Saccharomyces cerevisiae S288C: one gene and its partner. The protein of the gene in region 1 purifies or fractionates together with the protein of each later gene. This does not show direct contact. Each region holds a gene or a part of one and is shown in the gene's direction. Other genes may lie near its edges.

Region 1 (5,665 bases):
GGAACGGAAGGACAGAGGTACTACTCCCAACTACAGCTGCTGTTGTTTTCAACCCCTTCTTTATCTTAGAGCGACGACTTTTCTTCTTCTTGTCCTTGATTTCCATCACATTAGAATCTTCATCTGTGTCTGAGTCTGATGATACAGACTTTCTGTCGTAGGGAAAAGTTTCATCATTGTCTGTAATTGCGTACTTCCCGCGCCTCATAGTTGTCTTTAACTTTACATTTTGCTGCGTGTTTATGATTGCCCTACCATTCTGCGTTTGGTCCGAATACACACGTGATAAGTTTTCTTGCTGCTGCTCAGGTGATCGTAAAAGCCTGTGCTTGAACCTGGGTTTACTTGTCTTCCTTTGGCTTCGCGGTATTAGGTCGGGTAAAGTGCCTTTATATATTATATTTCCTCCATTGAGTTTATTCATTGCCGTATAGTCTGACTCTTGCTGCCGCTGTGAGGGGTCCGTTAGAGAAGCCTTTGCTGAGGCTTTGGACGCAAGACTATAAGAAGACATGGAAGGTTCAGGAGGAAATGCCTCATCGGTGCTTTTTTCTCTATAAGAAGTTTCTTCTCCATCGGAACTTATGGAACACGATGATGACAGCGAGGTAGAGTAGGATACTTGTGGCGAAATAGATCGTGAACGAACATTATTATCATATGACGGCGGAGGTATCCTCATTCTGTTCAATTGCAGCTCATTTTTCAAGGCTGAAGGAGCACGTGGCGGTTTTGTTTCAGTATCCATAACTGGATCCCGGCTGCCGACACCGGATGATCTGTTACTAAATGAATTTGTGTGGGCTAGGTATGCAGCTGTCTCTGCAGCTGCTATACTACTTGGCGAATTTGACGCTTTATTCCTTACATCATAATGGATTGTCTGCAGAGGAGTCGTCGGTACGGAAAAGGCTTCAGAATGGCCTGGAAGCGTTTCCCTAGAGTATTGATGATTTATACTTCTCGGTTCCGGTTGTCTCATCCTCGGCAAAGAAGGCTCAGATTTCACGACAGGCGCAGATTCCACCTTTAGATGTCTCGGCCTCTCTGCGCTACCGGCATTGCCATTGGGGTGGGCATATCTCTTGAAAGTAATCTGAGCAGCAGTTAAAGAATCTTGGAGAGCTTCCTTCGGCAATTCCACCACGGAGAGATTTCCGGAATGCTTTTTTTTGGGGAAATGCATTTATACAAACGTCAGGGCGTGTATTCTCCGGCACTAAATCGACTCTTCCTTGTATAGGCCATCCCGCACTCTTCATCAATTACTAAAAAGGAACCAAATACGTCACTTTATAACCAATTTATTGATGTCGAACGGAGAGCAACTCCCTTGCGCCATCTATCGCGCGCCGTCCCAAAAAGAAAAAAAGCAAAAAAAACATAATTTGAAGAAGGTTCTCTCAGCGGCTAACCTTTCTTCATTCTCAATTATAACAATAATGATACAAATACTGGCCCTGATCAATAGTTTGTCATGACAGCCGTTAAGACCAAACCATATTGCTGTAGTTCATCTCATCCCACTGTTTCATTCATCACCCAAAAATTCATCGCTCCTTTCCCCAATACATATAACACCTTTTTCCTTTTTTAAATTAGTGACGCCTCTGTGAGAGGGTTCAGTACCCATTCCTCCATGGCAACAACTCTCATTTCTCAACGCCTTCACCTATCACTCTTCACTGTCATTTCTTTTTGCTTTGTTATTCTGCTAAATGTCTTTCATTGGTTTTCCTTTATTAAAACATTCTCTGGAGGATTTGCAGTTTCGGAAAAAAGAAATTTAATCCGATATGGTCCAATTTGGGAAAAAAAAAAGACTTGGCTAGTTCTCCTTTTCGTCTTTTAAGAATAGGTACTAATTACGCTACAAGCAGTCTGTGAGTATTGAGAGAGACTAAAAAGGGCAAATTAGTCTGTAGACTTCGCTATTCATTACCGTTAGTCCTTTATTTTTTTAACGTTGAAACATCTTTTTTTTTTTTCCAGCCTTTCTCATTGTAGATCAGTCATTTTTCAAGATGCCCATGGACCAATCTATCTCATCTCCATTGTTTCCCATGGAAAAGGATATTGATATCCCCCTCGATGCTACACCCTTGGCACAAAGTTCATCATTACAGCTTTTTATTCATTTAGCTGAACCAGTTGTTTTCCTCCAAGGCTTTGACCCTCAGAAGACGGAATATCCCTCGGTTGTTCTTCGGGGCTGTCTAGTGGTAAGAATACTGAAACCCACAAAGCTGAAAAGCATAAGTCTTTCGTTCAAAGGATATTCTAGAACTGAATGGCCTGAAGGTATCCCTCCTAAAAGACAAGAATTCGTGGAAATCAAAGATATTGTAGACCATACATGGGCTCTATATCCGCCAACTGAACAGAAGAGCAAGAAAAAGATGGATGCTTCCGCACCTAATGAGAGCAACAATGCAGCTAATAATTTTTTGACGAAGGAAAGTGGTGCCTCTCTTTATAGAACACTGTCTGATAATGAAACTATAACAAGCAGAAAAAATTCTATATCAGGTTTGTCCTCGTTGAACTTGTCACCTCTAGGTGCACCTGGAAATTCCTCTGTCAACGTAAAAGACAGAGAAAGTAGACAAAGATCTAGATCTTCGTCAGTCACTTCTTCCAATGGACCATCAAGAAACCTATCCCCGATAAATTTATTGAAGAGAGCCACGTCTCCTTCCGTGTCTCACCACAACTATAAACCTACGACCACTTCCATCTTTTCCGACTTGTTGAATAACACCTTTACCCATAATGATGCAGCATCGCATCATGGTCATCATATCCCCACCAGTAGCAATCATCTGGCAATGACAAGCAACAACTTCACCAGCGGGTCTGGAGGAGAATTTTTTGTCTTTCAACCAGGCGACTATATTTATGCTTTCGAAGAACTAATTCCTCAAGCATACCCAGAATCTATTAAAGCTGATTTCGGATTTGTGGAATACTTCTTATTTGCCAGTATAGAGAGACCTGGTGCCTTTAAATCAAACATTAGCGCCCGGCAAGTGGTTAATATCGTACGGACACAGGCTCATAATTCTGTGGAAGAAAGTGAGCCGATTATCATATCTAGAGATTGGGAAAACCAATTATATTATGATATCGTTATAGCATCAAAGGATATTATTTTAGATGCTTTTCTGCCTATCACGTTCAAATTCGCTCCCCTCGATAAAGTTACGTTGCATAGAATAAGAATTTATGTGACAGAGACAATGGAGTATTATTGTAGAGAAAAGAAGGTTCATAGGATGGAGCCCACCAAGAAATTTTTATTGACAGAACAGAAAGGTCCTAAATTACCGAACTTGCCCAATGATGCAAATTTGTCAAAGGCCAAGAATATGGGGAACCTGTTGCAGGATCCAAAGAATGGTGATTTAGTGAATAAAGAGTATGAGTACCAGATTTTTATTCCGAGTCGTTTCAACAACCATCAGCAATTGCATCCAGATACTTCTTATGAAAACATCAAAGCAAACCATTGGATTAAAATTTGCCTGAGACTGTCTAGAGTAGTAGATAATAAAAGGAAACATTACGAAATTAGTATTGACTCGCCAATACATGTTTTACATAGATTGTGCTCGCATGCAAATACCCTTTTACCGAGCTATGATGGACATCCTGCTTCTTTTCCAAAAGAAACAGATTCCTCAATTTCCTCAATATTGGAATCGTCTGATGACAATATAAATCTATACCATAACTCTAATATTTTCTTTCCCAAGGAAGTCCTTTCGTCTCCAGTACTTTCGCCCAATGTCCAACCATTAGACATTTTAATCCCACATTTACCTTCCACTTCATTGACCAGAAACTCTAGGCAATTCAATAGGAACTCAAAATCCCATCCGAGTGATAATACCATCTTCAATTCTGCAAAGTTGAAATCCAACATATATCAACCGGAGAGTTTGCAAAGAGAATTAGCATCACCCCAGGCAATCCCGCTCTCTCCAATAACATCGCCAATGTCAAATATGGAAGTGCCTCCGCCAGATTTTGACTTTTCTTCCGATTTCATATCTGATGCTGCTTCCGGAACCACTACTACTGAGGTATCTTCATCAGAGTCGAGCATCTTACCACGGGATCCACCATCTTATAAGGATACTGTGTTGCATGACAACAATCAAAAAAGGAGGCCTAATTCCAAACATCCGACGCCTCCAAGTTTAAAAGCTTCCCATCCAAATAAAAATTCGGATAAGAATTCTTCAGAAACTTTGAATAAAAAAGAATCGATGTCAAAGATAGAAGAAAATAAACACAAAAGAGAGACAACTCCTAAAAAGAGAGAAAATAGGGACGTGAAAAGTTTATCAACCCCACAACGCGAGGAAAGCAAAGACTCGACATCCACTGGGAATCAAAGTAACGAAAAGAACAGAAAAAGAGTATTAAGCCTATCGTCTTCATTACATAGCTCACCAAATAATAGCGGATTTGCGCATTCAGCTTTAGGAAATCTGAGCAATGAATCATTAAGATCATTGAATAGAAGGGAAAGTGTTCAAGATAATTTACCGTCCACAATAAGACACGATAATCCTTTTTTCACAGATTTAAATCAAGTTTTAATAGAAGACGAACTTAAAAATCATGATAAAAATGAACTAAATCGACATTCTACAAATACTTCGAGCACCCCCGCCTCAGCTAGATCCTCTTTTGACTATTCAGGAATTAATATAAGCAAGGACAAGTTGAACATGGAACCATTACTGAGTAAAACGGAAACGTTGACTAATAAAGTTAATGAAGACTCCTTTTTAAGGCCTAATGATTCATACGTTGATCTACTTGAACCCTCAGTAGATACTACGATTGATATCACTGCGCCGTACGCTAGAAATTCCTCTGCTTGGCATCCTTTACAAAACGATAACGATAACAATCAGTTTTCTCCACTTTTGGGAAGTAACGAGAATTTCTTGAATGCAGCTAATGCACAAAATTCTGCCGAATCAGATCATAATAATGACATTTTCACACAGGGCTCAGGATTAACGGAAAGCTCTAAGAATTCTGATTCCGAGGAAAGATTTATTTCAAGACTTTCTTCACCCGAGAAAGTACTGATTAATACGTTAGATAATGAATCTGGATTACAAAGTATAAATGAGAGTACCCTTTAGTCTAGCACAAGGTTCCTACGTCATCCCTTCCTGTTCTTACATCTGGCGTCCAGAGCAAACATAAAATATTAGAAACTCTAATTGTTATACATATATATGTTTATATCTGTTTATGGTACGTTCTTTTCTTTAATTTTGCTTTTTGAAAAGTGATGTTCGCAATCTATCTCACTAATTGGTTAAGAACAGTAGTTAGTTCGTCAGGGGTATATTTGATATGCTTTCTAGGATTCTTGAAAGAGTCTTTATATCTACTGTAGAATCTTTCATACATGGGCATAACCAACGATATTATTTCTGACTTCAAAGTTACTTTCAATGATGGATCTGAAAGCTTATACTGTTTTGTTTTTGATACTAAATCTTCGAATCCTTCATTGAATTTTCTAAATTTCTCCTTTATTTGTTCTTTGTCTTTTGACTTCTTCCCGCTACTATCAATAAACACAGAATCCATCAAATTTGCAGTTAAATCTCTCCAATCTGATACCATATAACTA
Region 2 (4,664 bases), 170 kb from region 1:
AGAACAATCCAAATCGACATTGTTATTGGAACTGTCGTAATCAATCTTCTCAGTACCACCCAGGAAATATCCGTTTGGACAATACATACCCAAATGATAACTTTCAAAAGAACCGTAACCAGTTGAACGCCCAGAGTGAAAAACATTCTCTGTAAAAGCAGCAGGATCGAAATTCACCACATCTGACATTTGATTACCAAGTTTAACAAGCATTGGCCCAGATTTGAAAAACTTAGCGTTTTCTAACTCATATTCATAGCTGGAACCACCATCACTAAAATTTAGCGAAAATGTTATGGATCCATCAATCGTATTATAGGAGGACAGGTCATTTTGAGCAGTACATGTGAAAGTAGTATTTTCATACAAGTATGCAGCCTGTTGCGAAACATAGCATTTGAAAGCCTCAGTACCATCCGCTAAGGAAATAGTAGCTGTTTGCGATGAGTTTAATAGCTTAATCCTATAAACATGTGGCATTGATAATGTGAATTCATCGCCCTCCCTAATGGAAGACGCATCTGCAATACTAAAATCAAAAGTGGCAGTCCAACCTTGATCAGGTTGTTTATTTGCAGTCAGTGGAGTAATTTCTAAATTGGAAAATGTGATATCGTTGATATTTATAGCAGAGGCCAATGCCAAGGAAAAAAGCCACAGAATAATTTTGAGAAAAGTGAACATTTTGAAAACTGGCGAATTGTTGTTCCTTTTGTGCTGACTATATTAAGCGAGGCGACTGATATAAGGAAGATATGAGAATGGACGATTACTAGAATAAATAGAGGGCATTTCGCATATTTATAGTATGCTAAAAGGAATCTTTTTTTGATTCACATGGCTTTTTTTTTAGAAGATTGCATTTCGTTACATGATCAAACAATTCCATTGTAACGTTTTTGGGAATATTTAAGCGCCGTTACTGAAGAATGAAGTGACATAAAGCTGCCATTGTATGGTAAAACACCAAAGGCGAGTACCCTTAGCATTTCCTTATCGAGCTGGAGCGGCTTCTACCTTCCTAATTAGGTCATCAATGACCTGCAAAACAAAGCGAAATGGACAAAGGACCTACACTTGCCTCGTGGCGGGAAACTGCATGTAGTTGTTCAATGTTTCACCACTCAGTGTTGAAACTGTTTACTCCATTGAATTGAGGTGACGATGGATAAACTTTCTTTATTTTTTATATTTTTTTATAATTTAATTAACCTAAATTGAGCCTAACAGAGGAATTTGAAACAACACAATAGAAAACATGAGTTTCAAAAGCTAAATATGGTATTACTATTCATAGTGGTCTTGGTAATGAATAATGCATATGTATACTCTTCTTAACGCCTTATCTTATGTAACCATACACTTTTTTAGTAAGGTTTCAATTAAGCTACTATTCTCAATTAAATACTGCTCTGAGCTAGATAAGGCCTATTGAAGTTGGAGGATTAGATGGATAGAAATAAGGAACTAAATCGTCAAGTTCGAAAGCCTATTCCCATTCATGCATATCACTTACCTTTCCTTAATCATGATCTCTTTAGTGCCATCAGAACTATTTTCTTAACATCGCGATTCTGTCTTCCGGGTATCGCTCCAAAAATGTGCGAGGAAATAGGAGATCGTTCAAATCATCAACTTTTAGTATTGGGTATCAAAGTATCGCAGCCTGGAAACAGAATTAATCTACTGCACAAGAAGGGAATACAGCAAGAACATTCACTTCATTAATAGGACGTATTTCGCTTATGTCCGATCAAAAAGTTTTTGCCAGATATAAAGCAAATGAAATCGTCACAGATCTGCAACATTTTGGAGTAAAAAAGTTTAAATCGAATATAACAAGAAGGAAAAATGCTCTGAGAAAAATTATCGCCAATTTGGTTCTAGGAAACTATGGCGAAATGTCCGTTCTGTTTTCTGAGCTCTTGAAATTTTGGCAAATTGAAGATGATCTAGAAGTGAAAAGAATTTGCCATGAGTATATTAGGGTGATCGGCGCATTAAAACCTCAGCAGGCCAGAGAGGCTTTGCCATTTATAATGGACGATTTCAAAAGCAGAGATGAAAAGTTACAAATAATGGCACTAAGAACTCTGGTATTAGTCCCGGTGAAAGAGCTATCTGATCAGGCCTTCGACTGTATCATTTCATTGGTAAATCACAAGTCTCCACCTGAACAAGTGACGAGGACAGCAATTTACGCACTGTTGGATTTAGATGAAATTGATCATGAAAGGGTATTGGGGTTATCAAGCATTCTACATGACATTGTAAAAGCACAGTCGAGCTCTCCAGAAGTCATTGTAGCTGCATTACATACTTTATATTCCATTCACGAAAAAAACGCTAACATGGAACCCTTCAGGATTCCCTTGGAACTCGCTTTTGACATGCTAGAGCTTTTACCCGAATTAAATGAGTGGAATAAGGCTACTGTTTTGGAAGTTTTGACGACTTCGGTTGTGCCGCAGCATTATTTGGATACCCATGAAATGATCGAACTAGCTTTACCGTACCTGCAACAAGTAAACACATACGTAGTGTTGAACTCTTTAAAATTCATCATGTACTTGTTGAATTATGTTGACGTCATCAAAGAAACTCTAGCCGAAAAGCTATCTAACTCTGTAATAGCTTTGTTAGATAAGCCGCCTGAATTACAATTTTTAGTATTAAGAAACGTTATTCTTCTTTTATTGAGTAGGGAGTCATCTCTACTCAGGCTAGACATTTCGTATTTTTTCATCGAGTACAATGACCCCATATACATCAAAGACACGAAATTAGAGTGTTTATATCTTTTAGCTAACAAGGAAACATTACCAAGAATTCTAGAAGAGTTGGAACAATATGCTACAGATATTGATATTCAAATGTCAAGGAAATCAGTCAGAGCCATTGGTAATCTGGCTGTTAAGCTAGATGAAGACTCTGTACACGATTGTGTCGCTGTTCTACTAGATTTGTTAGAATTCGGTGTTGATTATGTCGTCCAGGAGATTATTTCGGTTTTCAGAAATATTTTGAGGAAATATCCCAATAATTTTAAAGCAAACGTAACAGAACTAGTCAAACACACTGAAGTTGTACAGGAACCTGAATCAAAAAACGCTATGATCTGGATAATAACGCAATATTCGGATGTAATTCCAAACTACCTGGAGTTATTTAGAGTTTTTTCCTCAAACATGTTTAGTGAGACGCTAGAAGTGCAATTTTCCATTCTGAACTCAGCAATAAAATTCTTCATCAGAAGTCCTACAAAGGAAACTGAAGAACTTTGTATGGATTTATTAAAAGGATGCATCGATCACGAAAATAATCCTGACTTAAGAGATAAAACACTGATGTATTGGAGATTGCTGTCATTAACGAAAACGTCTCGTATATCAAACGCGATAACTTTTGAATCTTTAAAATCAGTACTGGACGGAGAGTTGCCACTAATAGAAATGAACACGAAATTAGATCCCACCGTTTTGGAGGAATTGGAGCTAAACATTGGTACAATAGTATCGATTTACTTAAAACCTGTTTCTCATATCTTTAGATTGAATAAAACCAAACTGCTACCACAAAGTCCTATTTTGAATCCAAACAAAGACCTCTTGCCAGTTGTAGGTAACTCATTTCCTCCAACTGGAGCTAATAGGGACCGTCAAAATTCAGAAAGCCAGTCCTCGACGAAGTCCAGAAAGACTGCTATGATGGATGATTATGATAAGCCCGCTGAAAAAATTAATCAGTTGAAAGGTAAGCGTAAATCTAGTTCAAACAACCCCTCAAAACTATCACGGAAACCCTCAACTTTATTAAGAAAACTCTCTATGAAACGGCCCTTTTCGTGACTGCAAATGATACTAATTCCTGTATTTAAATATACTCATATTTAACGAACAATTATGATGAATGAAAAAACCTGATATAATAGACTTAACTAAGCGATCATAAAAAAATTCAAAAAGTTATTTTATAAAACAATTCAGATGTTAAACTAAAGAGTTAATGTAATATATATACAATGAACTGCGTCATAAATTCCCATAGTTCAGCTCATGGGACATTATCTACTTATAAAGACGTGGCTTGGCAGCATTTCATATATAAGGCTACTGAATGTAAATTTTTCTTCCATTGTCTTTCCCGTGTCCCGAGAACTCAATTCAAGCACTGTTCTTGGGCGTAATAAACCTTCCGGTACTACTAAAATCAGACAAAGGCAGGAAGCCTCGATTTGACCTTTTAACGGGTAAAGCTCTAAAAGTTGCTCTCTGCTCCATATTCTCGTTTTCCGTCATTTCAGTATCTTTTTCCCCTGCCTCCCTTACCTAAAGCTTCCTCTTCGGCGGCTAGTAATTGGTCTCTTTCCTTTTTGGCTCTTAGCTTCTCTGTCTTTTTTTGTTCCATAATCAGCTTCTTCTGGTTAGGGGTTCTCGCACCTTCTTCCCACCTCTGAGCTTCTTGAGCTTCTAGTTGTTGTTTCTCTAGTTGGTCCTTTTCGTAAGCTTGCCTACGTTTTCTTGCTCTTCCTGCTGCCACTTTTTTGGCAGTTTCTGAGTATCTCTTGCCAGTATTATGCATGTTCGCTTCTTCACTATGTTTGGTGGTTTCTAATGACAACTATGCGGTTAGCAAACTTCCAAAAGGCGGTTAATAATACGACT

The links.
Region 2: the proteins of ALY2 (region 1) and APL1 purify together in Saccharomyces cerevisiae (affinity purification with western blotting; 2 studies listed by BioGRID, with this or other methods). This does not show direct contact.

The regions. Positions count from the first base shown.
Region 1 is NC_001142.9:274,362-280,026, reverse strand, and holds ALY2 (Aly2p), read left to right. Parts: upstream 1-2,024; coding exon 2,025-5,165; downstream 5,166-5,665. Other genes in the region: TAX4 (Tax4p), read right to left, coding at 1-1,186; GTP-Rho binding exocyst subunit EXO70, read right to left, coding at 5,329-5,665. UniProt on the Saccharomyces cerevisiae protein: May regulate endocytosis by recruiting RSP5 ubiquitin ligase activity to specific plasma membrane proteins in response to extracellular stimuli.
Region 2 is NC_001142.9:444,178-448,841, forward strand, and holds APL1 (Apl1p), read left to right. Parts: upstream 1-1,745; coding exon 1,746-3,848; downstream 3,849-4,664. Other genes in the region: SAG1 (Sag1p), read right to left, coding at 1-684; LSO1 (Lso1p), read right to left, coding at 4,300-4,581. UniProt on the Saccharomyces cerevisiae protein: Adaptins are components of the adaptor complexes which link clathrin to receptors in coated vesicles. Clathrin-associated protein complexes are believed to interact with the cytoplasmic tails of membrane proteins, leading to their selection and concentration.